Linked DNA regions of Styela clava. The protein of the gene in region 1 interacts with the protein of each later gene in a pairwise test. Links are inferred from orthologs where the notes say so. Each region holds a gene or a part of one and is shown on either strand. Other genes may lie near its edges. The genes, in order: protein Red-like and WD40 repeat-containing protein SMU1.

Region 1 (16,419 bases):
ATTAAATTCCACTCCAGAAAACGTTTTCAATGTGTCCCTAGTTTCTAGCAGACTACTCCAAATAAAACTCTTCAAAACATTGGCATTGGGTCCTCAAATCTCATAATCAAATTGCATAATTCAAGTAATTAATCCAAAAACTGTGATAGATAAATGAGAAGTCAAAAATTTGAAATAAATACTCAAGTTCATACCTTATTTTTCTTCCTTTACTTGCTTTTGTGTCAACATTTTTCTTTGCTTTACTCCGTAATCTTTGTACTTTTAACCATTGCCTTGAAAATTATTTCAAATTGGAATTCATAAAAATCTTTAGTGATCACTTTGACAAGACAATTTACCACCACAACACAAAAATATTTCATTTATTTTTTATAATTTAGGAAAGCAATATTCATGGTACTTTTAACCATTGCCTTGAAAATTATTTCAAATTGGAATTCAAAAAAAAAATCTTTAGTGATCACTTTGACAAGACAATTTACCACCACAACACAAAAATATTTTATTTATTTTTAATAATTTAGGAAAGCAATATTCATGAATAGACATTCACTAAAACTATTGAATCATTTTCATAAAATTCATCAGATACCTTCAATGCATGATCAAATTTTATGAAAAATAAAAATTAATTTTCAATTCAATTAAATTTTTATATATGATATTGCTACAAATATGTACAAACCTCGTAAGTTCAACTGGATCTGATGAACCTCCAGGTCCTGATGATTTTTGTTCAATGAGTTGTCGAAGTAACTGGTGATAAAAGTCATCGTCATCATAGATTTCAGGCAGATATTCTTTTAAATGACTACTGTGGTTGTCGGCATCTTCAACAGGTGTCTATTGATTGAAAACAAAAGCTAAAGGGCAAAAAGCAACAGTTGACAGGGATGGGTGAAGTCAATAACATAGACCTGATATGAGTAAAGGACTGAAGCTTGGCACACAACTCTGTTCAATTATTCGTGCCTTCTTTGATCTTAAGGCAACATGATACTAAAATAAATTGTCTTTGAAAAACAAATATATTGTGAATTATATTTATTAGGACTTTCCATTTTTATTCCAAGGTAGAAATTCAATAAGACAGCATATCCATGTTGCGAACCAAAAAAGATTAATGCCCAATCACCAGTCCAGATCAGCTTTGGAAATAGCTGAGTTACCCGTAATTATTCGAGATTGATGGATACGGATGCTGAAGGAGTCAAGACGTAACCAGCTTAGGAATCCTTTCACACATAACTCCTTATACCAACATCTCAAACCAAATTCTGGACCAAAAATTTAACATACTAAACCACAATATTTCACAGACCTCTAGTTTATTAGACTGAGTCGTTCCCAGTATACGATAGTTCGTTCTTTTCAATTGTGTCCGCTTGATTAATCTTTCACGGTCTTGTAATATATCTTCTATCTGAGAAACTGTCGACCGTTCAAAATTTGAGAATGACTGAAATATAAAGAGTCATAATTGTTATGAAAGAGGTAAAGTAAAACATTATGATATTCTTAACTCTACAAATATGACGAATACTGATTTACGTATGTATACCTTTGATTTTGATGTCGCTGTTAATCTTGTTTTATCATACCACAACTTCAGTACTTTATTCCTATGAGTTTTATATGAAGTAAATCTGTCTTGGATCATATCATTCACCTCTTCCATCGACGTTGTACTTTTCCGCTTGTTATTACTATGCATAAAAAATAACAATAAATTTAGAGATGACTACCCACAACATTTCTATTGATGTGTGTCAGTCAATGGGAACATTACACAAGATATATCTCTTCAATGTGCACTGTGATTTTGTAGTGTCATTCAAGTCCCAAGCATTATAAAATAAATAGAGCAATATGATCGCATAATGTTACTGCTGCAACAGCAGATCCAGACGATTAAAATTTCAATATACCAGTGCAAAAACTTCAGATTTTGATGACGATAAACTTGGAGATACTTCAATAAAATTCATTATTTAATACTATTGAAAAAAACTAACAATTTCACATACTAAAGCTAACGTATCACTGAGATTTAGGTACCATGAATGTATTCAATTTAGGGTTTTTGACAATAAACATACCTGATTTTAGAATCTGCTATTGACTGAGTTTCAGGATTTTGAGTGAGAAGTCTCCTTTCTAATTCTAACAATTTGTATAAAAGATTAGACAAAATTTTATCCGCAGATGAAAGAGAAGCTGGTAATTCAGTTTTAAATAGTTCCATCTTATCATATTGAGGTAATCTGTTAGATATTGTAAGTATCTTCTGAAATTTGATTCGAGCTTCAAGCATATTTTCCCACAAACCTAAAAAATATAAAAAAAATTCTCAAAAAAACAAATTGAATTTATTCGCAAAGTCAAATAGTCAATATCTGTCTGTTCACATCTATCATTTGTTTATGTTTATCCTCGACAAAGAGCATCGATAACTTTGAACTAACAGTAAAAAGTGTGCTCTTATACAAAATGTGAGGTAAGCAAACAGAAAAGTTATGGCCCTACTACATTGTGCAGCAAATGAAATTTTAGCGAATATACCGTAGATAAGTATTGTACAATACATTCAGGTATCGTTTTCGTTATATGACGTCTTTCACTTTAAACAAAGCTCTATACAAGTCTCTATTACACCAATATGTAAACAGCTGCTTTTTTCTTAAGGACCTCAATCATTCACCTTATTACACCCTGAGTGAGGTGGTGATCATAGGTTCGAACCATGGATCTTTAATGCCAATATAGTTGAGCCCAAAACTCTAGCCATCATAGGGCTTCGCTCTAATGATATAAGTATGACCAAACAATTACATAATCCAATCAATTTGTCATTCCCATCAAAAATATTGTCCAACATTAGATGAATATTAGAATTAACCAGATTGGCAGATAAAACTAACAAATTTTAATTAATAAAAGAAACGTAAGTAATCTCACAAAATTGATTTCTAGTAGCTCTCGATTTTAATAATGGATCAGCCTTTTTCCTATTTTGAAATATTTTTAAACTGTCATCGCCATCTCCATCGGCTTCATCAGAATCAATTTCTTCATCCATTCCATCATCTTCATCTAGCATAATGTCTCCAACTTCACTATTATAGCTAGTATCACCATTCATTTCTCTGCATTAGTAGTGAAAAACATATTCAAATCAAGAATTTGGATACAGGATGTCAATAGATATAGAAAACAACATAATAGAAGTAAAAGAATATACCTCTCAATATCTTCATCAGTTTGATCATCTCCACTGTCAATATTTTCATCTTCAGCATTCCCATTCTATAAATAAATTGCAATTATATAAAACACATTCTAAAAAAGACATTTTTCATCACCCAAACTTGACAAATGATAAACTTTTGTCCTAGCACATGAATAAATACAGCCAACCTACACTACCAAACTATATTATCAACAATGACACGAGGATAACGATAAAATCAGGTAGAGATACTAATAAATAAATAAATGCTTTTTTAGACATAGTGAAGTTCAAGAAATGCAAAATTTTTTCCTTATACTCGGACAGGATCGAAACAGAGGATGAAAAACAATTATAGCGCAATTTTTATCCTAATTCTTGCTGTGGCTGCACACTTGCACAGACTATCTCGTCTATGATATGCACTAACTGGAAAATATTTTCAGTCAAAAACACCTCGACAGCAAAGATATTTGATATTCTCATAAAGACTAAAAACGATATTTGGAGGTCATGATATTCGAATTACAAAAGAATTCTACTATCGTACATGATTTTTCTCACTATTCTTGACGATACAGAATAAAACGGAAATGTAATCTAAATACCTTAATGCACTTCATGATAGCAACAATATTTACCTCCAGTTCAATGTTATCTTCATTGCCAGACTCACTTCCATCACCATCTGATGTTTGATTCCTTGATACAACTTTACCCCTATATAGCTCTCCCATGCCTTCGAGCGACTGCATTTTTCTTCGGCCAATTCCAGGAACATGTTGAATAACTGTTCCATCTTCAGCATCACTATTCAAATCATCTTTCTCTACAACTTTAGCTCTGGTTTCTAAACAAAAATTCTACCATGTAAAAATACAACAATTTTCATTAGGTATAGATAGTCGTAATATATCGTTTTACTTAGTTCGTCACTTCAATCATGGAGTAACATTTCGGTCAGATATGCTAAACCCATAAAGTACAGTCATTTCAAAACTGGGTAGCACATACAGTTATTAGTTTCTGGCATTACTGCATTATATAAAGTAGAAATGCAAATATCAAACAAAACAGATGATCTATATATATTTTAATTCAAGAAATTCAAGAACAAGGAGTCTATGATCAAGGATACAATTTTTCTAAACCAAAAAAATCTTCAAAACAAAATTGAAAGCCTTTTAGGGAGAAGTTTCAATCTCCGAATAATTGAAATGTGACAGTGATTCAGTAGTTGAAGAGAAAACAATTCAATTTATACCAACCACAATATTCACAAACAATGTTTGAGTAATAATAATAATACTGGGTCACTGGTTACAGCAGGGGTGCACAACCTTTTCTCGTTTGACGGGGGCATTACATTTTTGTAAAGCTGACTTTTTCAACGAGTGGCGTCATCGCGATCAGGTTTCGAACAATAACTTCTTTACATAAACGCCAAAAAAATCTAATTTCATCTGGAATTAAAGAACCGTTTCTCTGTTAACGATATCCCGCTTTAGAGATATGAAAGAATATTCAGAGCTGTTACTTTTTTATAATACTGATAATTTATTTCCATTACAGACACAAGTAATGATATGATTTTTCGTAACACTCAAGCGCCAACATAAAACATAAATTATTTTTCAGTAACACACCAGCACAGCTGCACATTTTACCTGCGAAAGCCGCATGCGGCCGTACGGCTGCAGGTTGTGCCCCCCTGGGTTATAGCGTTCAGTCAAAGAATATTATGAGTATGTAGGTACCCAGCAACTCAGTAGCAAGCCAAAAAACACCCCTAAATGGTCAGGTCTATTTAAGTCTTTAGGTGCCATAGCACAACCACAACTGTAGAAGTGCATCACAGTTTTAGCAAAAAAATGTGCATAAAGTGAACAGTAATGCATTGAGTGTTATATCACAAGTACCTTCATAAATATCATCTTCTGGGTCAATGCTCTTCACACTCGGATCGAAAAGCCTAGCAAGTTGTTCAGCTAAAGATGTCATGATGACATTTAAAATTGTTATGTATACTTTAAACTTGATTTTGTACTTGGTTTTCTAAATAAAAAAAGCAAACATTCAATAAACTGATAAAGGTCGATACCCTTCGATTGACATTATTAACAAACATTTATGAATGCCCAATGTAAAATTTCAGATAGTGGCAGTCTCCATGCATTTTAATGAATTTTAGGAGAAAAGAACAAAAACTCTTGAGAAAAGTGGGTATGTAAGTACTTTATTGGATTTTATCGTCACAATCATTAATTCAACAACTTTTTATTGTAACATTCAGAAAATTCAAACCTAAATATCAGAATTATGAGATCAGTTACAGAAGAGCATCCATTTGAACTACAGTACCAGTTTGTGGCAAAGATGTGACTAAATGATACAAACCACAATCATAATCAAATATAAGAAACTCCATTCAAAGGCAAAAATTCCAAAATATGCACTCATTAAAATAATACGGTTACGACAAATTACACATTCTATACTTGTCTATCCATTTATATATACACAAATCAATTTACAAAATAATGATATGAGAATATCACTTTTAACAAACAGACATTCAACATGATGAAAACATTGGCAAATACAGTAATTCTCACAAGTTCAACCTTGAATTTTTTTATGATCAAAGTAATGCTTATAACTTGATAATATATAGTTAATATTTCTTATAATTCGAATCTCCACCCTTTCGCTTTTCAATAATTTGATTGATTTGCATCAGTTCGCGATTCAATTTTTGTTTTTCATTCTGCTCCTTGGTTCGTCTTGTTTTTCGACCTCCTGTCATTTTTATTCCATACTGGAAGGCAGCTTTAGGCATTGCTTCTTTCTGAGACATGTAATTACTATATTCTTCTTGAGTATCAAAGTCCCATCTTCCAACTGGACCTTTCTTACTACCTTGATCCATTTTACTGTAATCTGCTTCATCATCACTATCGTCTCCTACGCCTGATAAATTGTATTGCGCTGATGGATAGCATTCCATGTAACTGTCAGATGCCCCCGCTGTGCCAATGAGTGGATTGCCTTTGCCAGACTCTTTCTTTTGCTTTTTAGTTTCTTTGGTTTGGTCTGGTTGTGACGACCCTGCATATTTTTCATTGACATTTTTTACAAAATTTTTCACTGAAGCAGCAACAGCTTGTTTTGATTCAACCATTTCTTCTTCCATTTTAGGTTTCTCAAAATAAGAATGAGCATTTTTTGCAGGCTTGCTTCTGTTCTTTTTTAGAGTAGGAACATATTCACCAATATCATCAAATATGCCCATGTCTGCTTCAATGGGTCTTTTATGTGGCCTATCATTTTCAGTCTTTATCTTTCTATCTTTCTTCTTTCTATGCTTTTCGCGAGCACCTTGACGTAAATATGACAATATCTGAGTCAGTTTATTAATAACAATATCGTTAGTTGATAATGTTGTTTGAGACTCGAGTGTTGGGCAGTCTGCTTTACTACGAAGCAGAGTAGTGGGAATATCTGTGTCTGCAAACTCATCATCGACTTGAAAAACGTACGCCATTCGTCCCGGCAAAAACAATTCATTTCTTAGTTTCATTTGAGGCTGGAAGACAAGTCTGTGTATGTTTTTTGCCATTTTTGTTTTGAACGTAACCACTTCTTTCTGTTGCTGCTGTTGTTCTTCTTTCGTGTTTTCTATGTCTTCAGATAAAACTTTATCAAGTTCTTCGTCCTCTCGTTCTTTTGTCGATATCTCAGCTCGAACCTTTTGTAAAAGAGCGAAATCGAGACCTTTTACCAAGTGAGTATGAGCCATGTCACCTCCAAGATATTTTGATTCTTGGATGACTTGTCTTCTTTTCTCAGCGGAAGTTCGGTCCGCTTCAGCACTTGGGCCAACGGTTTTGTAATTAGCAGTTGTATTGATAAGATCAGATTCAGCATAATCTCCTTTACCTTCTCTCCTCTCTTTTGCTCGATCTCTATATTTCTTTTGAAGTTCAGCCTGCCTTTCCATTTCTTGCTTTTTAAGTTTTGCATACAAACTTTTCTTTTTTCTTCTTTTTTCAGCAGCCGATTCATGATCTTCTGAATCAAATTCTGATTGGGACGCTGAGACTCGTTTTGCTCGATCATCGTGAGTTTTTTCACCACCAGCTTTAGGGGTCGTCAAAAATTTTCGAAAGTCTGCATTGGTTAGAGGTTGTTCATTAACATTGCCATCAGTCTCATGATAATGCTCAGGGGGCAGAGGATTAGAAAATTCTTCATTTGCCATAATGCTTTATTGATAAAATTAGTTCAACAGTATTTATAAAATATAAAAAAAAAAATGAATGGCTGAGTATTGAACTGTCACTGACATAACGGCGCGGCGTTGTGGCTCAACGGGCTAAGCGTTAGGAATACGCTCGCCACCGCACCTCTAATTACTCTGCGTGGGTTCGCAGGTTCGAATCCCATGCAGGGATGGTTATGTGCGAGAGGATTGCTGGACTTCTCGCCGTCGTTGGGTGGTTCACGTAACCGCTGGTCGGTTACGGCTTCCTCCACCACCAAGTCCATGCTTCCGAAAACAAACAATATAACTAATCCCATACCATACCCGACTTGGAATGGTAACCGGACGAGAGGCCGTGGTTCGCCATATGAATAAGCCTTCTTATCGGCTTTCCTCTCCCCCGGGATAAATAGGTAAATTCTATCCTATCCTATAACTGAAAGAGATTCCAGTTTAAATGAAGATGGATGGCTTAAACTTGTATATGCCGATTTCCACGCTTTGTCGCGTAATGCAATGGTGGTGAAATAGTATCGACACTTTGATTGTTCATTATCTTCTGTGCGAGCGTGCGCCCTTATTGTTGCGACACATTTGCATGGTCGCAAGATTGGCACTATCGCCATCCCCTTGCAATGCTTCTAATTTACGGATTCATTTGTATTAAGTCAAGGAAGTCACATAAATACAAATAGTCAGATAATAAATAAGTTAAATAAAGTCGTGCACTTTGTTACAAATTACAACACCCAATAAATTGTCTCATGTCTTAAAAAACGAGTTGATTTATTGGAAAAAATCCTTTAAACATTTTCACACTTTTGGCAAATACCGTATTTTGATAATGATAGTCAAAAGTATCGACTTTTTATTATGATGATTTTCCGTTGCGACAAAATATTCAAATTCATGAACAATAACAGCATTTAAAATGCCTTGTCGTATTAATTTAATTTTGTTTAATAATTAACCTAACTCGTGGTTGCGTCAACTAACGAAAAAATAAAAGTATTACCGACAATCTGCAGCATTGAATGGTGTGGTGCACTGGCCAATTATAATTAATTTTTTAAACCTATTACAGTACTTACGAAAAACAAATATTGATACAACTCCAAAATACCACGGCAATCTGTGGACATAAAATGTGTGGTTGACTGCCCGATTAGAATTAACTTTGATTTATTAATTCGTACTCACGGAAAAATAATAATTTTGATAATGATAGTTGAAAGTATGGACTTTTAACTAAGATGATTATATGTTGCAAAATATTCAAATCCATGACCGACAACAGCATTTAAAATGACTTATTGTTATTGTATTAATTTAATTGTTTTTAACGTAACACATAGTTTTGCAGACTCGCGAATAAATTAATGCATTACTACTCTAAGATACGGCGACCATCTGTGAACATAAAATGTGTGGTAACTGCTTGATTATAATTACAAAATACAAAAGCATTACAACTTTAAAATAACGCGGTATCTGTAGAAATATAATGTGTGGTAAAATGCTGGATTATAATTAATTTTTGATTCACACTTTCGTACTCACAAAAAAATAATTTATACCTTTACCCACTTTCGGCAAATAGTTTTGATAATGATTGTTAAAAGTATGGAATTATCGGTTGTGCAAAGTATTTACCGTAAATCCATGACTGATAACAGCATTTAAAATGCCTTCGTATTAATTTACTTTTGTTCGATGTAGCCTAACTCATCAATGCCTCGTCTTACGAAGAATAAAATGTTTCAAAATACCACAGCAATCAAAAACACAAAACTAATGGTAAACTGCCCTATTATAATTAATTTTGATTCGCACTCTCGTACTTACGAAAATAAAAAGGGCATACTACTATAAAATATCACGGCAATCGGCGGATATAAATTTTCTGGTAGCCAGCTTGTAGGTAACGGTAATTCCATTGTTTATTGTATGCTAATTCCGCCATAAAGATAAGCTTGCATTTATTTTCGAAGTATTCGAAACTTAAATAATAATTTTGAATGTATTCGAAATAGTAAATTATTCGGTATTGGCCATCCCTGATGCCGTTTGAAATTTGCTCAATTAGTTTCACAATGTTTATGATATGACAGCACAAAATGAATATCCATGAATGTGGAGAAGGGGCAACATTTTTTAATTATGACCGACTGCACTCCTATGGCCTGAAGTAACATCATTGAATCAAATGTCTCAATGTTAAATGGCGGATAAACAGTTCACCAATCTGCCAATAGGATATCTGTATAACTCAAAATAAATAACGCCATTTCAGCATTTGGTTAATAATTTCTGAATTTAGTTTAAATCAGAAATAGAGTTTGCTATTGGGGCATCATCGAATAGATAGGTTAGATTTTACGAGAAAAAGTTTAGGAATATCAAATATGTCCTGAAGTCACCTCAGGATTGACACGTGAAAAAATTGTTATGCTACGCCTACTAGAAGTACGTTAGGTAGGAAAGTAGGGTGGCTTACCCACTTTGCGACCATCAACTTCATCGATTAAATTAATGCCGAAAAAATTAACGAACCGCGACGATATTTCTCACACGTTATCGTCCACTTATCCCTCGTAGCTCTGCGAAAAGACACTAAAATGCGGCCACAAATAAAAAAGTTACGACCGAAAACCTGACCGAAGAAAAAAAACGGACCATTTTACCATGTCGCCAACTACCCATTGTTCCCTCAAAAAAGCTTGAAAATCCATACAAATATAAGAGATAAAGAGATGAAACTTGGCAGGTGGGTAGAGTTGTGTTTCTTTCAACCATCTTTAAAGTTTCGCGTTTCTACCTTCAAAGGAGGGGGAGTAGGGGGGTGCGCATTTCCAATACGTCAATAATATCTTTGTCAACTAATTTGCGACCACCGTGTTTTTGTCTGTTTGATTGTTGTGATGCGGTGCTTTGTTTATAATTTGAAGAATTTTGTTTGAAATAACCGTGTTCTTAAAATATATAACGGTCAGAAATGCAATTAGAAGCCCATTTTTTCACGCATGGCTGCGTATGCCCCAGTCTCGACACAGCAGAAACGATGTTCAAGGCTTGAAATCCGTGATCGCACACTGGTCGTTCGGTCGCAAATACGTCTTCAGAGTGTCGTACTTTGGTGGTTTGTATAGCTTTAACCCCTGGTCGTAGAAAGTTAATTCGAAGTTCAGCGTGTAGAATAAATGCCAATGCACTTACGGTGAAAAAATTAACGGGTTAGAAATATTGGTTTTTGTTTTATAGCGGTTTGAATGAAATCGTCCGCAGATTGGCTACACCACCCTACATGAGACCCTAATTTTTCTAGTAACACTAAGTGTAAATAATGACTTACAATAACTTACTGTATTCAGATATTAGTATGTACCATAGCCCAGTAGTCTCATATTACTGTACCGGTATTACAGTATTAACTGCTGCTGTTGCCAGACTGCAGTATTGTGATCACAACATGCAGATATGCATACCATACACCTCTGTGAAGCTAGCAGCAAAACACGAAATTGTGACTGACAGAATCGCAGAAAATACCCACGCGTAAAATTAAATGTTCCCAATGATTTTTATAAGAAAGTGTATATTTTGATTATTTTCACAATAGCAATTAAAGCAAAACAATCATTAACTACACTCCTCGTATTGTTAATATATGGTAAACAAGCTAAAGCGACTGTTACAGTGCACAAAATTTTTTTATAATTCTTTGAGAGATGTTTAAAAATGACTGAATTTTCGTCGTGTAACATGGTCGTTTCATGAAAACCTCCAATAAAGGCAGCATTGCAACACCATTGGTGAAAAGTAGAAACCTCAAAGATTCGATTTCAATATGTCAGAACAGTCTCAGCACGTTTTGACTTGACCATATATAATACTAAACATAGCGTATATTCTTCAATTTTTAAAACAATGTATATATAACAAATTTGAAACTGATTTTGTATTTCAATTAAAATTACTGGATAGTTCATCAAAGAAGATATTTTTCTCTTTGTCACACAACAATAATGCACTTCATTAAACTTAGAATAAGTTGAGTAAAGTCTGAAATACTGAAAAAAAATTTACGCCCTCTTGTGGATTCTTTGATAAATTTCACAAAGTTATCGTTTTCGAAAGGGCAATTTCTCAAAAACCGCCAATAAAGGCAGCACTACGACACATTCGAAGAAAAGCAGATACCCTATAGATTCGATTTTAATATGTCAGAACAGTAGCAGCACGTTTTGACTTGGCCAAATATAATTCCAAACATAGCGTATATTTTTAATTTCATTGAAAAAATGTAGATGTGACATATTTAAAAACGGTTTGGTATTTCAACTAAATTTACTGGAAAATTCATCAAATACTTTCTTCTCTTGGGTATACAACAAAACTGTACGTTTATTAAACTTGGAATTAGTGTGCAAATGTTAAAATGCCAAAAAATGATTTGACGCCCTCTTGTGGATCCTTTTCGGAATTTCGAAAAATTATCGTTTTTGAAAAGGGCGATTTCTCAAAAACCGCCAATAAAGGCAGCACTACGACACATTCGGAGTAAAGCAGATACCTAATAGATTTGATTTTATTATGTCAGAACAGTAGCAGCACGTTTTGACTTGGCCATATATAATACCAAACATAGCGTGTATTCAAACTTTTATAAACAATGCAGACGTAACATATTTAAAAACGGTTTGGTATTTCAAATAAATTTCCTAGATAATTTATCAAACATCTTTTTCTCTTGGACATACATATATACTATACGTTCATTAAACTTGGAATAAGTTGCGGAAAGTATAAAATACCAAAAAGCATTTTACGTCCTCTTGTGGATTTTTTTCAAAATTTCAAAAAATTATCGTAATTGAAATAGCGATTTCTCGGAAACCGCCAATAAAGGCAGCACTACGACACATTTGGAGAGAAGCAGATACCTTATAGATTCGATTTTAATAAGTCAGAACAGTAGCAGCACGTTTTGAGTTGGTCATATATAATACCAAACATAGCGTATAATTTTTAATTTTATCAACCATGTATGTGTAACATATTTAAAAACGGTTAGGTATTTCAACTTAATTTACTGGATAATTCATCAAACACTTTTCTCTCTTGGTCATACATCAAAACTGTATGTTCATTAAACTTGGAATTATTGTGCAAATCCTAAAATGCCAAAAAATGATTTGACGCCCTCTTGTGGATTATTTTCGGAATTTCGAAAAATTATCGTTTTTGAAAAGGCGATTTCTCAAAAACCGCCAATAAAGGCATCACTACGACACATTCGGAGTAAAGCAGATACCTTATAGATTTGATTTCATTATTTCAGAACAGTAGCAGCACGTTTTGACTTGGTCATATATAATTCCAAACATAGCGTATAATTTTCAATTTTATCAACTATGTAGATGTAACATATTTAAAAACGGTTAGGTATTTCAACTTAATTTACTGGATAATTCATCAAACACTTTTCTCTCTTGGTCATACATCAAAACTGTATGTTCATTAAACTTGGAATAAGACGGCGAATCCTAAAATAACAAAAAATGATTTGACGCCCTCTTGTGGATTTTTTTCGAAGTTTTAAAAAAATATCGTTTTTGAAAGGGCGATTTCTCAAAAACCGCCAATAAAGGCAACACTACGACACATTCGGAGTAAAGCAGGTACCTTATAGATTTGATTTCATTATGTCAGAACAGTAGCAGCACGTTTTAACTTGGCCATATATAATACCAAACATAGCGTGTATTCAAACTTTTATAAACAATGCAGACGTAACATCTTTAAAAACGGTTTGGTATTTCAAATAAATTTCCTAGACAATTTATCAAACATCTTTTTCTCTTGGACATACATATATACTATACGTTCATTAAACTTGGAATAAGTTGCGGAAAGTATAAAATACCAAAAAGCATTTTACGTCCTTTTGTGGATTATTTCCAAAATTTCAAAAAATTATCGTTATTGAAATAGCGATTTCTCGAAAACCGCCAATAAAGGCAGCATTACGACACATTTGGAGAAAAGCAGATACCTTATAGATTCTATTTTAATATGTCAGAACAGTAGCAGCACGTTTTGACTTGGCCATATATAATTCCAAACATAGCGTATATTTTCAATTTTGTTAAAAAATGTAGATGTGACATATTTAAAAACGGTTTGGTATTTCAACTAAATTTACTGGAAAATTCATCAAATACTTTCTTCTCATGGGTATACAACAAAACTGTACGTTCATTAAACTTGGAATTAGTGTGCAAATCTTAAAATGTCAAAAAATGATTTGACGCTCCTTGTGGATCCTTATCGGAATTTCGAAAAATTATCGTTTTTGAAAGGGCGATTTCTCAAAAACCGCCAATAAAGGCAGCACTACGACACATTCGGAGTAAAGCAGATACCTTATAGATTTGATTTCATTATGTCAGAACAGTAGCAGCACGTTTTGACTTGGCCATATATAATACCAAACATAGCGTATATTTTCAATTTTATTAAAAAAATGTAGATGTGACATATTTAAAAACGGTTTGGTATTTCAACTAAATTTACTGGAAAATTCATCAAATACTTTCTTCTCTTGGGTATACAACAAAACTGTACGTTCATTAAACTTGGAATTAGTGTGCAAATCTTAAAATGCCAAAAATGATTTGACGCCCTCTTGTGGATTCTTTTCGGAATTTCGAAAAATTATCGTTTTTGAAAGCGCGATTTCTCAAAAACCGCCAATAAAGGCAGCACTACGACACATTCGGAGTGAAGCAGATACCTTATAGATTTGATTTCATTATGTCAGAACAGTAGCAGCACGTTTTGACTTGGCCATATATAATTTTATCAACTATGTAGATGTAACATATTTAAAAACGGTTAGGTATTTCAACTTAATTTACTGGATAATTCACCAAACACTTTTCTCTCTTGGTCATACATCAAAACTGTATGTTCATTAAACTTGGAATAAGACGGCGAATCCTAAAATAACAAAAAATGATTTGACGCTCTCTTGTGGTGTTTTTTTGAAGTTTTGAAAAAATATCGTTTTTAAAAGGGCGATTTCTCAAAAACCGCCAATAAAGGCAGCACTACGAAACATTCGGAGAAAAGAAAATACCATATAGATTTCATTTCATTATGTCAGAACAACAGCAGCACGTTTTTACTTGGCCATATATAATACCAAATATAACGTGTATTTACAATTTTATAAACAATGTACACGTAACATATTGTAAAAAGATTTTGTATTTTAACTAAATTTACTGGATAATTCATCAAACATCTTTTTTTTTGGACGTACACCAATAATGAACGTTCATTAAACTTGGAATAAGTTGCAAATTGTATAAAACAACAAAAAAATGACTTACGCCCCATAGTAATTTTGTTTAATATCTCGAACATACCGTTTTTGGAGTGGCGATTTCCACAAAACCGCAAATAAAGGCAGCACTATGACACATTCGAAGAAAAGCAGATACTCCATAGATTTAGTTGAAATACCAAACCGATTTTAAATATGTCACATCTACATTTTTTAATAAAATTGAAAATATACGCTATGTTTGGAATTATATATGGCCTAGTCAAAACGTGCTGCTACTGTTCTGACATAATGAAATCAAATCTATAAGGTATCTGCTTTACTCCGAATGTGTCGTAGTGCTGCCTTTATTGGCGGTTTTTGAGAAATCGCTCTTTCAAAAACGATAATTTTTCGAAATTCTGAAAAGCATCCACAAGAGGGCGTCAAATCATTTTTGGCATTTTAAGATTTGCACACTAATTCCAAGTTTAATGAACGTACATTTTTGTTGTATACCCAAGTAAAGAAAGTATTTGATGAATTTTCCAGTAAAATTTAGTTGAAATACCAAACCCTTTTTAAATATGTCACATCTACATTTTTTAATAAAATTGAAAATATACGCTATGTTTGGAATTATATATGGCCTAGTCAAAACGTGCTGCTCCTGTTCTGACATATTAAAATCGAATCTAAAAGGTATCTGCTTCTCTCCAAATGTGTCGTAATGCTGCCTTTATTGGCGGTTTCCGAGAAATCGCTATTTCAATAACGATAATTTTTTGAAATTTTGAAAATAATCCACAAAAGGACGTAAAATGCTTTTTGGTATTTTATACTTTCCGCAACTTATTCCAAGTTTAATGAACGAATAGTATATATGTATGTCCAAGAGAAAAAGATGTTTGATAAATTATCTAGAAAATTTAGTTGAAATACCAAACCGTTTTTAAATATCTTACGTCTGCATTGTTTATAAAAGTTTAAATACACGCTACGTTTGGTATTATGTATGACCAAGTCAAAACGTGCTGCTACTGTTCTGACATAATGAAATCATATCTATAATGTATCTGCTTTACTCCGAATGTGTCGTAGTGATGCCTTTATTGGCGGTTTTTGAGAAATCACCCTTTCAAAAACGATAATTTTTCGAAATTCCGAAAATAATCCACAAGAGGGCGTCAAATCATTTTTTGGCATTTTAGGATTTGCACAATAATTCCAAGTTTAATGAACATACAGTTTTGATGTATGACCAAGAGAGAAAAGTGTTTGAAGAATTATCCAGTAAATTAAGTTGAAACACCTAACCGTTTTTAAATATGTTACATCTAAATAGTTGATAAAATTGAAAATTATACGCTATGTTTGGTATTATATATGGCCAAGTCAAAACGTGCTGCTACTGTTCTGACATAATAAAATCGAATCTATAAGGTATCTGCTTTTCTCCGAATGTGTCGTAGTGCTGCCTTTATTGGCAATTTTTGAGAAATCGCCCTTTCAAAAACGATATCATTTTGAAAATTCCAAAAAAAATCCATAAGAGGGCGTAAAATGATTTTTTCGGTATTTCCTACTTTACGC
Region 2 (17,343 bases), on another chromosome or scaffold:
TTTATTGTGTGTGAACGCTCCGCAATCTGTCTTAGTGATGTATTCAGTAATGAATTTGTTGACAGGACCAATTACAATAAAAAATTAGCATATAATTACATATCTCCATTGACTCACAAGTATTCGAGATTCGATTCTGAAATCATCAGGTATTCAAAAATGACAAGATCTATACTAAGTAACAAAATAATAGTAGGTCTTACCCATTTTGAGAATCTTCTTCTGGATATGACTCGCATATTGTTATTAAGTCAACACATATTTGTCCAACACTGAGGACATATTTTGAAGATTTTACGGAAGTCATTCTTGATATTAAGTCCTGAAAAGTAGAAAATCGTTTCGTACTCCCGTATTTTGTGAACCAAGATGGCGGATACCGGAACGTAGTATGTGTACCAGGTTAGGGTTAGGCCATAATTTCAGGTACAAATACTACAGGAGTCACTTGGCTATGTCTCCGAACTCGTGATAAATTATTGCCTAACCCTGTTGCACATACTACGTTCCGGTTTCGGCCATCTTGGTTCACATACTACGGGAGCACACGACGTTTTCGGTGCGAACTCGTTTTTCTCTGTACTGCGACAATACAACGCTACATTTCTCAAGTACTGTCGTCTGAATTGATATCCTATGTAGATACGACACTTTACAAATTCACGATGAATGACATGAGTCGATCAATCGAAGTTCACTCCGTGATATAAAAATTGACAGCAACAGACATGTGCAGGCGGAAATGCAAAAGCCACCGGACATCATTGATTACTCTGCGTGGGTTTGCAGGTTCGAATCCCATGCAGGGATGGTTATGTGCGAGAGGATTGCTTGACTCCTCGCCACTGTAGGGTGCCACCATCAAGTCCATGCTTACGAAAACAAAAAACTAACTAATAATAATAATCGGCTTTCCTCTCCCCCGGGAAAAATATGTAAATCCTATCCTATCAAGTTATTGAAAATATTATATTTTTTGACTTCAGTAAATTTAGTTAAAGCAATACTTTGCGATAGTTCTATTTTAATTCAAGTATTACATATCAAAACCTGATTTTCTGGTAAAACTCGTTTGATATTAAATATACATTCATTATATTGTACGTCCTTTTGATTTTAGAATGTATTGCCAAAGTATCGATCATCTTCTTGGCTATACTTGTGTTTCATGTATTCAAGAAAGGGGAAAATGTCATCACCCTCACGTACGTTCCTTTGAATGCTTACATGCTCTCGCTCGAAACAGAAGCTTCTGCTTCGTTGTTGAGCAACTTTGTGTCTGTCATTCCACGTCAAAACTCACAAACCGTGTTTAATCTTCGCGCTGTCAATCGAATTGTGACATAATCAATATCTGTTTATTTGGTAGAGTATAACAGAAATCGTAGCATAATAAGTAGGGTTAGAGTGCTTCTTGAATCATATTTGCGTGGTCAAGTTAACTTCAACAGTAATATTACATCTGTGAGGTGTGAAAGATTATAAACGTGCGCACGAGGTGGTAGATATCTAACGACGTCATATGTTAAGTCTTTGTGCATAATGTTTTGATTGACACTACGGAAATTGATTTTTTAATTGATAAAAAGGCTTTGACATACCTTGAATGATCATTTAAATGAAATTTTTCGTGACTCATTGTTGTGTCAGCTGCAATTTTAAAATTTGTCAATCAATCAATTTTATTTTGGTCACTCTGAAAGAAACAGAACAACAACAAGATAGCAATCAGAGACCGCCGACTTATCGATCTAGCGGCGTGTATCCTTCGCTCTGACTCAATAGCGACACCGCGTGTCCCATAACTAATTAATTGATAACTCGCTAATTATAGGACATTATTCATCCAAAATCAATAGGCTTCTGGTCTGAGATATGATGAATGTACATACAAGCTTTGGAGCAACCTTGCTTTCGTGGAATAGCGCGTAACATACGAAAGTATCTATCAGACAGACAAATACCTATCATTTTTTGGGGGATTTTTTTGCCTATTCAAGTCAATTGGAGCGTAATGCAACGGTTCTTTTTTACTTTAGCTTACGACATCAAACTCGCTATGAACTCGCTTCACGATGAGCGGCTAACCAAGATTAATTTTCCCATTTTTTGTCTCTTTATAATAGGAATTTATGCACACTGTATATTTTCCACAGTTGAGTATGTTGTCTGTTAATTAAGGTACTGTGGGTAGCGGTGCCCCGAGCCCCGAGAGACGTGGATCTCCCCAGATTCTGTAGTGATTTATTACGCACGTAATCAAAAAAAAGCATTAGCTATTATTCTTCAATAAAACAACGACTAATTTGACAATGAGTTTTGTCATGACGATTCTTATTATATGGAAATTCAAAATGTGTTCAATATATCTTTCCTCGAGAATATTGTCAATACCGCGTGCAAACTCTACCCTGAAGTTTGACCTCCGGATTTCAAATATATGACTCCTTGTAGCGTCATCGTTTCTATTAGCAAGACTGTCTGGATCAAAGTGACTATGATCTGGATTGGGTAGTTCAGAACTGATAGCTGTAGGCCTACATCTATCTCGTTGTTAGTAAGGATTAAGTGTCTATTTTATTCCGGGTAGAGGAAATACGGCTTATCATATAGAAAACCACGGTCTCTCGTCCGGTCCAAAGTTTATCTTTACTGTTCACTCCCATTTATAAAATTGACCAATTTGGCAGTGCAATCATCATAAATTTATTAATATGGTGTGGCAAGTAGTTTTTATTTATTTATTTTTTATTAACTACCAGTATGTAATTTTTCATGTTTCCTTTACTTAATAACTTCTATATGGTTGTGTGTGTGGGTGCGTGTAAGCTTGTGTGAAATATTTCAATTATTTTATGTGAGTGAACACGTACCACATCTTCTTGGCAAAACCTTCCATCTTATATGCATTCTGTACGTTTTAAACCTTATCTAAGGTTTTGTTCGCTCTCCTGATTTCATAAGCAGTTTTTATTTATTTATTTTTACAATTCATTTTATTGTTTTGCTGATTATGGAGTCGAAATAAACTTATACTTAATATACTTATACTTATTTGGGGCAATCTCCCACCTAAAACTAAAAAAAGTTATTTGTGCATGTTTTCAGTAAGACACTGACCTGCTGACTGACTGAAAAAGTATTTCCTAGTGAAATATTCTAATTAGTCCTAATACCTTAAATTATTTTCTCGAAATATAGACTATCTCGTGTTTGATTTGCTTATTGAAGGTCATGGCCATTTTTTCTAACTTTTGTGTGTGCATAATTGAAAGTTGCTGTTTTTTTTATCTTTTTTTTTACACAAATAATTGCTCTGTCATCAATCTGATGATTATTATGTTCAACTCTAAAAGGCATTGTTAATGATATTTCCAACTTTTTAATTATTGCTGAATCTGTGATAATACTGTAATATGATTGCTTCAATATTATCTTTATTTCTCCATGTATTTGAGTCCGGTACATGTCCAGTGAATATTTAATTATAAGAAAATATAATAAATAGCTAATTGTAAAAACCAATCTTGATATTTGTTTTGTTTCTCTGGGCCTGTCCGCACCTAAAAACTATTGTACATATTGTCGTTGTGCCTTACCTTTTTGTCTTGTGTATTTTACTAGAGTTTTATTTGTATTGTCAATTTCATGTCTGTTGTCCTGGTATATCGCATCAGTCCTAAAGTGCTGTTATAATTGTTAGGGGTACATGTCGCACATCTGTGTCTTAGGCCAGTAAGGTCTTGAACATGTATCCCGTCTCTGTTATACTGTTCAATTATTATGCAGATACTGTTACATTTTGAGGCAAATAAACATACATACTTTGTGTGACCCAGGATAAATATGTGAATCCTATCTTAGTTTATATTGCGGAAGTCAACAAACTAGACATAAATTCCAAATCTTTAATCTAATCTAGAGCTGTCACTAAAATAAAATAAATAATAGCTAAATATTAAGTTATTTCAAGATGGCTCCTGCAGTGAGAAGCCGAGCAGAGATTCGTCTTATACGACTGCTTTCCAGATGTGAAGAGATGGCTGGGTTAAACACACCTGATGACTGGAGACTTGAAAAGTATGTTGGAGCATTAGAGGAACGTCTACAAGCGGTCCAAAAGCTTGATTCCTCGGAAAAACCAAAGGAAGATATCATCAGTGAATACGCAAAGAAAATTAAATTTTTAAAACAACTTTTAGAGACTCAAAAATTACCTGTCACATCAGAAAAATCTCTCGCTAACCAACTACTCGTGCCAGCAAAGTCTCGGACGATTCCAACTAATAAAGAATCTCCGACGGGAAAGCAGATTCAAATGCAGGCATCGTCGAGATACACTACGGAAATGCGCGACGAACTCATGCTCACAGAGAAGGAGAAATCAGCCGGAGTGCGCTATAGAGCAACGTCTTCTGGTGGAAGTACGCAAAATGCAGACACTGAAGCTATACTGCAACATCAACATAAAATGCACGAAAAAATTGCTGACGAAATGGTTGCGTTAACAAGGAATTTGAAACACAACATTATGGCTTCTAACAGAGTTATAAAAGATGATTTGAATGTGATCGAAAAATCTTCTAAAAAAGCTGATCAGAATTACGGCCAACTTCAAACCGAGTCGTCACGACTTGAGAGTCATTTAAAGAAAGGGACGAACTGGTTGTTGTGGATATCTCTTGCTCTTGTCTGCGCTGTGTTTATGTTCATGATTTTTTTCATCAGGTTTTTTCCCAAAAGGTACTCTTGATTGTTCATCATTATTATTCTTGTAAGTGCCAATAATGCTATCTCAGGGGTGTGAAACATTTAAAACAGGAGGGCCAGATGGATATAACTGGGTGAAATCGCGGGCCACACTTAGCTTTTAAGGCATTATGAAGTCATAAGCCTAGATAGTAAATTGGATGTACCAAATCAAATTTAAAACTTGTTTCTCAGGCCGCACCTCATTCAAAATTGTCACTTCTTCGTGGGCCACACAATTATTTATAGAGGGACGAATTTGGCCCCAGGTTGCACACCCCTGTACTGCGCCATCGTAGTAAGAATGTAAGGAGCATACGATACAAGTTTTCTCAATATTTAATGTGCCTATAAACAGGGATGCCCAGTTCCGAATACTGCACTCTTCCGAATACATTCTAAAATAATATTTTCGAATCTGGAATTTTCAATACATTCTAAAATCAGACATACAAATTTTTGTTTTAGTAAATTACGGTAATATCCAGTAAAATAGGAAATAGCTCCAATAGAAATATTAGAATGAGGCCACAAACCAACAGTATATGTACACAAATTATTTGATAGTTTATGCCAAGTTTCTATTGAGAAAGTTAACATTCAATGAAGACGCTTCGAGAGCGATGTCGCAGATGTGTGACGTTACACAAAAATTCGATATTCCTATAAACGTTGATTCCGATATTCGAATGACGAGATATTCAAACTGGCCATCCCTGCCTATTAATCTACTAAACAAGATAATCAAATGCGAGAGGATTGCTTGGCTCCTCACAGGCGTTGGATGGTTCATGTAACCCGGCCAGTTGTTGATAACTGATAACTGATTAGGCTATCTAATTCCATCATGGATTGGTAACCGAACGAGTGGACATGGTTTGCCATATGATTGATTTGTCTTATCTGCTCTTCCGGGATAAATATATTGAAATCTTACTCTAAACCAGGGATGTGCAACCTGCGACTACGAGGAAAAATTGTGTGACCCGTGGAGAAATGCCTATTTTGAAATGGTGTGCGGCACGAGAAACGAGTTTCAAAATTCTCAAGTTTAATCTAGTACATGCGAGTAATTCCTGTGCGTTGCAAAGCCTATACCTGAGCTCTTGCGAAGCGAGCACTGCATGTCATCAGATCAATACTGGGGCTAGGCATTTTCGAATACCTGATATTTCAGAATCGAATAATTTTTTCGAATCGAATCTCGAATACTTGGAAGATATATAATCGCATGTAACTTTCTTATTGTATTGAACACACAAATTACTGGAAAAGTAAAATACATAACTCAGACAGATTGCTGAAGCGCTCACACACAATAAAAAACACATTTTCATCAATAACTCACTAATTTTTGTGCCTGCATCTACTAGAAAGCCTATGGTAAATAAATTTGCTGCCCGCGGTTTTACCCAATTATGTGTATCTGGCGCTCCTGTATTATTAAAGGTTGCACACCCCTGACCTGAACAGATGAAAAGATGCTTTACTGCCTGCCTGTTACCAGTTGTGCATTTAAATATTGAGAATCTACTTGGTACCACTTTTATAATGTTCTATTTTATTGCTATTTCTTGGTGCAATTAGTTAAAGTCTTGATGTTTGAATTGTATATTTTTGACATGTTTTGGTGAAGGATATTCTGCATTATTCATATCTTTAATCAAGGATTCAAGAACTTGGATCCAATCTGTGGATATCATTTACCTCAATTCTAAATCCCTTAATAATCAATAATTTATCTCCGTATTGATATATTGTGATCAATATTGGATTTGTTGGATTAAGTTTCACCTGAGTTGTGAGGTAGGCTGATTCTCACCTCTCTTTGTTGTATATTTGGAAAGCAACTCATGGATTATGTTTTCATGGTCATAAGCAGTGATAAGGAGGCTCCAGTCCAGGGGTTCCCAACTGTCCATGGCGTGGCCCCTTTCCCGAGGTTTTTTAGAGTTTTTTGTAAAAGGAAAAATAAAATCAGTTTTGCGCCTAGCATTGTGGCTCCCTTGTGGGCGCTCCAGTAGTATGTGAACCAAGATGGCGAACACCGGAACGTAGCATGTGTACCAGGTTAGGGTTAGGACATAATTTTATTCCAATTTTTCTTTTTTAGTCCTATTAGGAGTTCGGTGACTAGCCAAGTGACTCCTGTAGTATTTGTACCTGAAATTATGGCCTAACCTGGTACACCTACTATGTTACGGTGTCTGCCATCTTGGTTCACATACTACATGAGTGGCCCCAACTGCTCTAGTCATTGACACTAAGTCACTATTTATAAAAAGAATCAAACGAGATTTGATTTATCTGAATAAACCGACTGCGAGTGTTTGACACTTGTCCCGAGGTCGACTATTTCCAGACTTGACAGGGTCTATATATGGTCAGGTTCCCCATATGATTATGCCATGTTATTGGATTTTCCCTTGTCTTGAGATACCCTAAATAGCGTATGGAAATCTATACAGACCTACAGAGTTACCTATAGTGCAATTCCGACTACTTTGCCACGGATAGAAAGCGTTGATGCATGACAGGCCAGAATAATTGCATTCTAACATAATGGCATTTATGCTGTCAATTCTCACTTTCTTGATTATCTGGTTAAATTATATTGAAGTACTGAGCCTCATTATTTTTCCTTTTGAATTATTGCTTCCTAACTATTGGTGAAAATTATATAATAATATATTATTTTTGTTTCAACTAAGACAGTTTAATATTTATTTCATTCTTAATTAATAATTTAAAAAATGGAAGAAATTAAAGAAACTATAGAGATTGAAGTCCAACCAACGAAACAACTTACAGAAAAGGAGAAAATTATCGCAGAGCGTCTCGAGATGCAGCGGAAACATAAAGGCCATGAAACCATGCATTTAGAGATGATTTTTATTCTTATTTCGACATTAATTGTGTCACAAATAGCGCTTGTACAATGGAAGAACCGTCACCCTAAATCTTACAACATTGCGACTTTGGTTGGGATGTGGATTATACCGTTAGCTTTCTCGTTACATTATCTTTGGTGGAGATTTTTAACAACATGGGTAATTTTCACTGTCGTTACGGCGTTTGTTGTTACGAAAGCAAGGAAGAAACCACTTCGTGGTACAACGCCAAGATTGGTTTACCAATGGTTTTTAATTTTGTTTCGAATTTGCTACGCTATCGGCGTTTTCGGTTATTCACTGATTGTTTTAACAATGATGGGTGTTAATATGGCATTCAGGATTCACCCTGAGACAGCTATGGATTTTAGCGTCGTTTTGATGTTTTACGGACTTTACTACGGAGTTATGGGTCGCGATTTTGCGGAAATATGTTCAGACACGATGGCTTCAACAATTGGATATTACACAAAGACTGGAATGCCAACAAAACAATTATCTCCGGACGTTTGCGCTGTCTGCGGACTTGTTTTAGTACTTCCCGTAGACGAGGATGACGAAAATACAGAGAAAGTCTACAAATTGTCATGTTACCACAAATTTCACGATTTGTGCATTCGTGGCTGGTGCATTGTGGGTAAAAAGCAAACCTGCCCTTACTGTAAAGAGAAAGTTGACTTGAAAAGAATGTTCACGAGCCCTTGGGAGCGGCCTCATATTTTATATGGTCAATTATTGGATTGGATTAGGTACCTTGTAGCTTGGCAACCTGTTATATTAGGCTTGGTTCAGGGAATAACATGGAGTCTGGGTTTAAAATGAGAAATTTCCAAAAATTATCTTAATTTAAAAAAGAACGTTTATTTAGTGCTCTTTGGGAAGTGGATATGAATATTTAAATAGCAAGTTTCAAATAAAAAATAGTCAAATAATAAATTTTTGAAATATATTTTCGAATGTTACCGATTTAGAACATTTCTTTGCTTTGCAATTTAAGAGTCGCTTGTGCTGCACACTAACACAAATGTATTTTTGTAACGTTTTGTCCGACCCAAATCAGACTTCCTCAGACAAGCAGTTTACGTGCATGGACTTAATGGCGAAGGAAACTGTAATCACCCAACGGTTAGGTGAACCACCCCACGTCGGCGAGGTGTCAAGCAATCCTCTCGCATATAATCATCTTCGTATGGGATTCGAAGTTCGAACCGGCATAGGGTAATCAGAGATGCGGTGGCAAGCGTATTCCCAACAGTTAGCTCGATACACCACTGAGTTGCTTCAATTCGAGTGCAGAATCATTATATGCATTCACTGTCCAATATCTCCTTATAATACGATATTTATATTTAACACGAGGGTGCTTCTTGTCTTGTTACTGGATGGGAATAGCTTACAATTGAATTTATTTCTTCCTATCTTGATGCAATTTCAACCTAATTAGGTCATGCGAGTGCAACTGAATTTCAGCGATTTTTTATTATGAGGCATTTTATCATCTAAACTCTCTATAAGTAGCAACTGATACATAAAGGGATACTTTCTTTTGAAAGAACCGATTTTTCCTGTTTTGCATTGCCTACCCAATTACTTACAAACTGGGTGGTGACCATGGGGATTGACAAAAGTTAGGCAATTAGAAATTGACATGTCAGAAGTTACTGGCCTGAATTTTTCCAGTACAGCATTGCCTAGCCAATTTATTACCCACTGAGTTTCTCGTCCACATGTTAGTGTTTAGATATGTTGTGCCTAGACTGTATTTTATTGACCTTTGACCCCTGACTTTCTCATCCGCAATCAAATTTGCTATGTAATTCAAATTTATCTTCTATTTCACATTGGTCAGGGACGTAGCCAGGAGGGTGTTTTTGGGTGTCGCCCCATTTTGAAATGTAAAAAAAATAAAAGCATCTTTTTGTATCACACAGAGCAATTCTTCGTAGATTGAAACGCTTTTTAGACCTCCATTACTCGTGAAAACACACGTTTTCCAGCGTTCGGTCGGACCCGCGAGCTGTTTCGATCTAACTTGGCAAATAGAAATTTCAGAACCCCCCCCCCCCCATGTTGTGCCTAGACTGTATTTTATTGACCTTTGACCCCTGACTTTCTCATCCGCAATCAAATTTGCTATCTTAGTATCTAATTCAAATTTATTTTGTGTTTCACATTGGTGTTCACATGTTAGTGTTTAGATATGTTGTGCCTAGAATGTATTTTAATGACCTTTGCCCCCTGACTTTCTCATCCGCAATCAAATTTGCTATGTAATTCAAATTTATCTTGTGTTTCACATTAGTGTTCACATGTTAGTGTTTAGATATGTTGTGCCTAGAATGAATTTTAATGACCTTTGACCCCTGACTTTCTCATCTGCAATTAAATTTGCTATGTAAATCCAATTTATTTTGTGTTCCACATTGGTGTTCAAATGTTAGTGTTTAGATATGTTGTGCCTAGAATGTATTTTAATAAACTTTGACCCCTGGATTTCTCATCTGCAATCAAATTTGCTATGTGAATCAAACTTATTTTGTGTTTCACATTGGTGTTCACATGTTAGTGTTTAGATATGTTGTGCCTAGAATGAATTTTAATGACCTTTGACCCCTGACTTTCTCATCCACAATCAATTTTGCTATTTAAATCAAATTTATTTTGTAATTCACATTGGTGTTCACATGTTAGTGTTTAGATTTGTAAAAATTTTTCATAGCAAATATCTTTAGTTTTCTGTTTGTAGTTCGAATTGAGTGCAAAATTCATTATATGCATTGTATTTATCTGTCCTAAATTGTTGTTTTGTTTCATTACCCTCTGCGTGTTCCACAACAGATTGGCTTGTTTATTTACTCTTTCCACTAACTGGGATGGCTCGGGGACTCCTCTCATTGGGCAACAAAAAAAAAATCTAATTTTAAGCTCAATAATTGTAAAAATCCAACAACAATTATTAGAGAACATGCCACTTTGTTATTAGAAAACATGCCACTTTTATTCCTTGACTAACATTTATCAATTTACGGTTTTATTCTACAAGTAATACGTACTTCGTACCTCCTAACGTAGCGTCGTATGCTATACCAACACCACAGTAATTGTTAGGCGCTTACAATAATAAACAGGAGGGCCATAAGAGCTTAAAGCCGCCTGACCCCATAGTAGGTTAAGAACCACTGGCATAGCACAATGTGCCAGCTATCAAATCGACCTATTCTGAATCAGGTCTTGTCTATTTTTCATCTGATAGATATTTGTGTGCTAGTAAAACATTATATTTTATTTTTGTCAACATCATTATTTATCATTTTACTGTTCTAAGACAAAGTTTAATTTGTTTTATTTATTCTATCATAGAGGTATTATTTAGAAAAAAAATAACAGAATGACTTTAGAAATTGAATCTGCTGATGTTATCAGGCTTGTGGAGCAATATTTGAAAGAAAGTAACCTGCACAGGTGTGTTACCGTACATCCTTTAATATAATTAATGATTTTATAATGATGAATTTATGATTATTCGCATGCAAGCCGACCCCCAAAAAAGGACCCAAATTGTTGAATTTATGATAATTCGCTTATAAGCAGTCCCATTTAAAACAGATCTGAATTGGGGAATTTATAAAAATTCGCAAATAAGCCAACTTTACAAATCTTTGTTTAATACAAAAGTTGAAATGAACTGTTCGAGGACATGAATCGAACATGTATTTTTCCTTTTTAATCTCAACAGGTGCTAAGATATACTTCGGATTTTTAAATTACTCCAACTTTTTATTGGAACACTTTGGTGAATATTGCCTCAAACTTTAATCAGTAACTAGCTGAAACTAAGAGCATTTAAATATTTTTTTGAAATTTCAACATGTCTTGGAACATTCAAAACAAACAATACCAACATACAGGACAGAAATTCAATTCCAGTTATGTTTGATTTGTTTTGGGCCTGTCAATTATTTTACCTGTTCATTTTATTATTCCAGAACTTTCATTCAAATTGTTTCAGACCTTATCCTAAAAATTCATTTTGTTATTTCAGAACCCTGGCAACCCTTCAAGAAGAATCCACTATTTCACTCAACACTGTAGACAGCATAGATGGCTTTGTGTCGGATATAAATAACGGACATTGGGACACAGTTTTGCAGGTAAAGCATTAGACTCCACCATGTAGCTATTCTAAGCTAAAAATCTCTGGTTTAAATCACATGTTTATCACCAGGGGAATGGTTTTGCGAGTCGGAATCCCCCCTCTTTTTTGGAATGTAAAGAAAAGCATTTTTTTCGTACCATACATAGCAAATTTTTCATAGCTTGAAACGCTCTTAGACTCCACCAAGCCTCTTGAAAACCACAATTTTTGATCAGACGCCCTGGCTGTTTTATTTTAACATAACTTTGCGGTTAGAAATTTTAAAGTTTTTAAACATGTAGGACTATAGAATAAAGGTAAAAGGTCAACTCTTTTTAAGCCCACCCTTTGGGAACCGCTGCAATAGTGAATTATTTGATTTTTGCCATCCCTGGTTGATACTAAACAATTGGAGTTGCGACTTTTAGGGAACAGCCATTCACATGCAATTTTTTTCAAATTTATCCAGGCCATACAATCCTTAAAGCTGCCAGACAAGACTTTAGCGAATGAATAAAAAAAGAGGGTATTTCGTGTCATACATAGCAATTTTTCATAGCTCAAACGCTTTTTAGACCCGGAAGATCTTTCTGAGATTTCCATGAGAACAGCCATCCACATGCAAATCTTTCAAAATGTTTTACCACTCTTTATTCAGGCCATTCAATCCTTAAAGCTGCCAGACAAGACTTTAGTGGATTTATACGAACAAATTGTTTTGGAATTGGTGGAACTACGAGAACTTGGTGCGGCAAGATCTCTTCTCAGACAGACAGATCCTATGCTTGCATTAAAGCATTCACAGCCAGGTTGGAATTAGGGTTATTTTCAATTCATTTTTCATGATCAGAAAAATCTTAAACTTATCGTATATCCTTGCCGCATATAAGCAGGGTTTAAAACTCAAAAAAGTTGCCAAACTAAGGGGTGAGCTTATACTTGCGTAACTCTGATAGATACCACTAAATATTTGTCTTATATGGCAATATCTCTGATGGCACTCAAACCAAATAACAGTATGCTAATCTAATTCTAACAGCTGCAACTTGAATTTGCTGTGATAGGCAGGTATGACGTGTTGTGATTTGTAGGGTCAGCTTATATGAGAACCTTTCTAATTTCGTAATTTGTAATTTCCTAATTTCGGATAGGGCTCCAGACTAGCAAGACCAGACACTCAGAGGGCTACTATATTTAGGAGGGCCGCGGTCTTTTCATTTTTAGCATTGCCTTGCTAATGTAATTACATCCTGTGCCAGTTGGTATGTCGAAATTTATTTTATTCATTAGTAAATTTTTTAATTTGGGAGTGATTTAGAACATTTTTATATAAAAATTAGATATTCTGAGCTGTAGGTGCTGTATTTGATATTTCATATTCGAAATATATTCTCAGAATGTATCCGGAATAGTGATACATTCAGTTTGGGTAGAGGTTCCGATATCTCAAAAATTATTAGCTCTCCACATATCCATTTGTACTGAGGCGAGTTCGGAGTAAATGTGTCCATAGAGTAAAAAATGAGCACCTCAAATAGTGTTTTAATTTTAATTGCATTTTCAGATCGCTACGTTCACCTTGAAAACCTTCTGGCAAGGTCATATTTTGATCCGAGAGAAGCCTATCCCGATGGATCAACCAAAGAAAAAAGAAGAGCCGTGATAGCTCAGTCCCTGGCTAAAGAGGTGAGTTTAAATTGTTGTGTATTTTTGGAAGTAAGATCAAAGAAAGAATGGTCACTGGGTTGACTGTTGTTAAGGCTGTTGTGAAAAATCACTTCTACCTATATAACTGGGCTAATTTACCAATCTATCTGGAATTTTGTGTACTTTGAGAAGGTACAAAATGCTAACAGTCTAGATTTGTCTTAGAGTAATTTGGAAACCGATAAATTTGATACATATGTCATTCAGTACAATTCTTTCAAGAACATTTGGCTGGTATTTTGCTGATATTGGAGTGGCCGTACAAGTCAATCAACAACAGTGTCCCATCCGTATATTTAAGCATTGCACTCTTGTTCATCAGTCTAATTATCTTTCTTTCAGGTCAGTGTTGTACCACCATCTCGTCTTATGGCATTACTCGGCCAGGCTCTGAAATGGCAACAATATCAAGGACTTTTACCTCCAGGTAACACTAGTTAGCTATTTGCATAATTCGTACTATTCTGTAGTTTAATCGAAACTTCAACCTATGGGCATGGAGTTTGTGGTGTTTTTACTGACTTATTTTAAACTTAGCTGTGCAATGTATTTAACGTGGTGACCGTACATTTGAACCCACGTACATTTGAACCCATGCGTATATCCACGGGTTCAATCTATATGCGGGTGCTAAAACCCATGGGTTAGGGTTAGTATGGGTTTAACTATCCGTGAAACAAAAAAAATTCCATAGGTGCAATAGCATACAAGTGCAATTGTCATGGGTTCAAATGTACGTGGGTTCAAATGTAATGGAACCATTTAACGTCACTCTCTTTTTTACCTCTCCAGGGTCAACGATTGATTTGTTCCGAGGAAAAGCAGCAACAAGAGAGGAAGAGGATGAAAAGTATCCGACAATGCTGAATAAAACAATCAAGTTTGGTCAGAAATCTCATGTTGAATGCGCAAGGTTTTCTCCTGATGGACAGTACTTGGTGACTGGGAGGTAAGTATCAGTGGGTACTCCCGTAGTATGTGTACCATGGCAATTACCCCCATATATTTTATTTTACTGAGCCATAAAATTATTTCACGTCATGCTATGATCAAGGCTTAGTCCATGAGTCATTAGTATTAGCAAGCTGTTATCACCCTTTTCTTACATTCCCCTTTTCCTTAGTTTAGTAACTTCACTATTTCCCTGGGTATTGGTCCTTTACATAATATAGCTTCGTATTAGGGTTAGGCGATAATTTTATTCAGGTTATCCTAGTTTAGATTTTAGTTCTATTATGAGTTCGAGATTGTCTGTGTTAGCCAAGTGAATACACCCCGTCTATAGGTTTCAGTCCCTTTACACAACTTGATGTAAAGTAGGCGAACAAAAATAGTTACCTCCATATTGGTACACATACTTCTGGAGAGCCTGTCAGGTTGAAATAGTTGGTATTGGGTTAGGGTTCAGATAAATATATGCGAGAGGATTTCTGTGCTGCTCTTTGTTTCAGGGTGGTTTTCATAATTGCTGGTTTGTTATGGTTGCCTCAAAAATTAAAATTTATCTGTCCAGAACTGCCGGTGTTAAGTGCTGTCTATTACAAATCTTGCCCTGAAATAACAATAATAACTGAGCAAGAGACTGTGTATCAACATATACCAGCTTGTCTTATCAGCTTTTCTCTTCCCGGGAAGCGAAATGAAACATCACAACCTCACACAATTTCTTTTTTACAGTGTTGACGGTTTTATTGAAGTATGGAACTTCGCGACCGGTAAAATTCGTAAAGATTTACAATTTCAAGCCCAGGATCAATTCATGATGATGGATGATGCGGTTCTGTGTCTTGCATTCAGTAGAGACAGTGAGATGCTGGCAACTGGAGCCCAAGATGGAAAAATTAAGGTATAATATAGCCTTGTGGTTTAAAACATCCAACTTGATTGTGTCTTGAGTTCAAAAGGATTTTCGCTTGAATACAAATGTGTAGAAAACATGAGCGCGTCCAACTTTTCTGCTGCTCGAGTTTCTGATAATGATTCTCCTTATACATAACTTCAAAGATAATTTGGGGGATGAACAAATTATAGATTTTATTTTGTATGAGAATAAATAAAATAAAGGTAAAGTAAGATTGAAATGTTTGTATTATTATTATTCGAATCATCAAACTAAGCAACAAACTCACCCCTTATATGTGCTGCCTGGGGCGGCTACCCCCTATGGTCGCTCTAGACCAGGTGTGGGTAACTTCTCTAGTCGGCGGGCCATATGTTAGAAAATGAGGTTCTCGGTGGGCCGGATTATAACATGAATAGTATTCAATATCTCAATCACATATTTATTCGCTAATGCAAGAAAGAAAATTATAAATCACGTTTAAAGTAAAGTTTAAACTACAAAAAAATAGAGACCAAAAAACACATAATGAATTTATCATGATTTACCAAAAGTGTAATAATGTAATATCATAATGTACTGATGAACAGTCAGCAGACGGTCAAAATCTCGTCGCAGGCCGTACGTTGCCCACCCCTGCTCTGGACACACCCCTGGTAGGAAAGTTGGAATAAACAATAATCTGATTGTCCCAGTTGTTAATAAAGAGAGCGTTTTTTTCATAAGAAGGAAAGAAATACTAACAAGGAGATCAACTAGATAGCGATCAGAGACTGCCGTCTTATCAATCGTACTGCGGTTTCGATTCCTCCGCTCAGACTAAATAGCGACAATAGTGTCCCATCACTAATTAATTTATAACTCGCTGATTTAATGACATAATTCATCCAAAATCCAATAGGCTTTTGGTCCGAGATATGATGAATGCACATGCAAAATTTGGAGCAGATTCAACCTTCGCTTTCAAGATATCGCGTAACATATGAAAGTGTCTAACAGACAAACACCTATGATTATGAACATACTTACCGATCGAGATCGATAAATAACAACAAAACGATCCATAGCACGGTCCACTTTGTGTCCAACAGAATTGTGGCTGAAATACAAGTTTTTGTCTTTCAGGTTTGGAAGCTGACTACAGGCCAATGTCTGCGTAGGTTTGAGAGAGCTCATACTAAAGGAGTCACCTGTGTTACGTTCTCTAAAGATGGAAGCCAGGTATGCCGTTTGGGAAATGATGTTCAATTTTGATAGTGTATCTCACGATCTCGTCGTATGGGTGGCCATTAATCGACATTTTAAACACAAAGTTGAAGCTAAGACACAAAGCAAATTTGACATAATATCCAACGATGTAGTTTTGTTAAAGTAAATAGGTTGCAAGCGGTGTTCCCTCTAAGGTGTGCGCGTGTGCACGCGCACACAGCTTTCAGAGGCTGCGCACACGCATAGATTTACTGCGCACAGACGTATTTCGATGTAATGTGAAAATGTGCTTGGTTGGCAGGTTGAGAAAGTTTGTTGTTGGCCCACCTATCACCCGGTTAGAATGCCAAAATTTCTTCATTGGTTTTTGCACAAATATTAGTCATTTCCAAAAAAGTGCGCACACACCAAAATTTCTGCGCACACATACTACAAAAAATTAGAGGGAACATTGGTTGCAAGATAAGCTGCATGGCCCAAATTCCCATACTATTACATTGGTGGTTAGACTCCTAGTTTTGATATTCTATTTTAACCCAGAAACCTACTTTGTCACATTATCTACCAGGGGTTAGTATAAAATCCTTTTTTTATTTTCAGATTCTCAGTGCTTCGTTTGACCAAACGATTCGAATCCATGGTTTGAAATCTGGAAAATCTTTGAAAGAAATGAGAGGGCATACTTCCTTTGTAAATGAGGCTTTGTTTATCAATGACGGGCATAATGTTATCAGCGCTTCATCAGATGGAACGATAAAAGTAAGATAAGAGATAGATAAAACGTTTTATTAGCTGTTATTTACTGTTATGTA

What was found.
Region 2: the proteins of protein Red-like (region 1) and WD40 repeat-containing protein SMU1 interact in binary tests that used the Caenorhabditis elegans proteins (3 or more experiments, as listed by UniProt). The link is inferred for Styela clava from reciprocal best matches to the Caenorhabditis elegans genes smu-2 and smu-1.

Annotation. Positions count from the first base shown.
Region 1 is NC_135257.1:13,444,831-13,461,249, forward strand, and holds protein Red-like, read right to left. Parts: upstream 7,526-16,419; 5' UTR 7,494-7,525; coding exon 5,907-7,493; 3' UTR 5,284-5,906; downstream 1-5,283. Other genes in the region: protein AATF-like, read right to left, coding at 195-275, 689-846, 1,325-1,462, 1,565-1,709, 2,103-2,331, 2,962-3,149, 3,245-3,309, 3,874-4,082 and 1 more. UniProt on the Caenorhabditis elegans protein: Auxiliary spliceosomal protein that regulates selection of alternative splice sites in a small set of target pre-mRNA species. Selectively regulates alternative splicing of unc-52 exon 17.
Region 2 is NC_135261.1:1,556,870-1,574,212, forward strand, and holds the start of WD40 repeat-containing protein SMU1, read left to right. Parts: upstream 1-10,997; 5' UTR 10,998-11,028; coding exon 11,029-11,102; intron 11,103-11,682; coding exon 11,683-11,791; intron 11,792-12,433; coding exon 12,434-12,584; intron 12,585-13,339; coding exon 13,340-13,461; intron 13,462-13,824; coding exon 13,825-13,909; intron 13,910-14,274; coding exon 14,275-14,431; intron 14,432-15,159; coding exon 15,160-15,328; intron 15,329-16,447; coding exon 16,448-16,543; intron 16,544-17,131; coding exon 17,132-17,290; intron 17,291-17,343. Other genes in the region: ketohexokinase-like, read right to left, coding at 204-307; vesicle transport protein USE1-like, read left to right, coding at 3,974-4,753; E3 ubiquitin ligase Rnf121-like, read left to right, coding at 7,503-8,462. UniProt on the Caenorhabditis elegans protein: Involved in pre-mRNA splicing as a component of the spliceosome. Selectively regulates alternative splicing of unc-52 exon 17.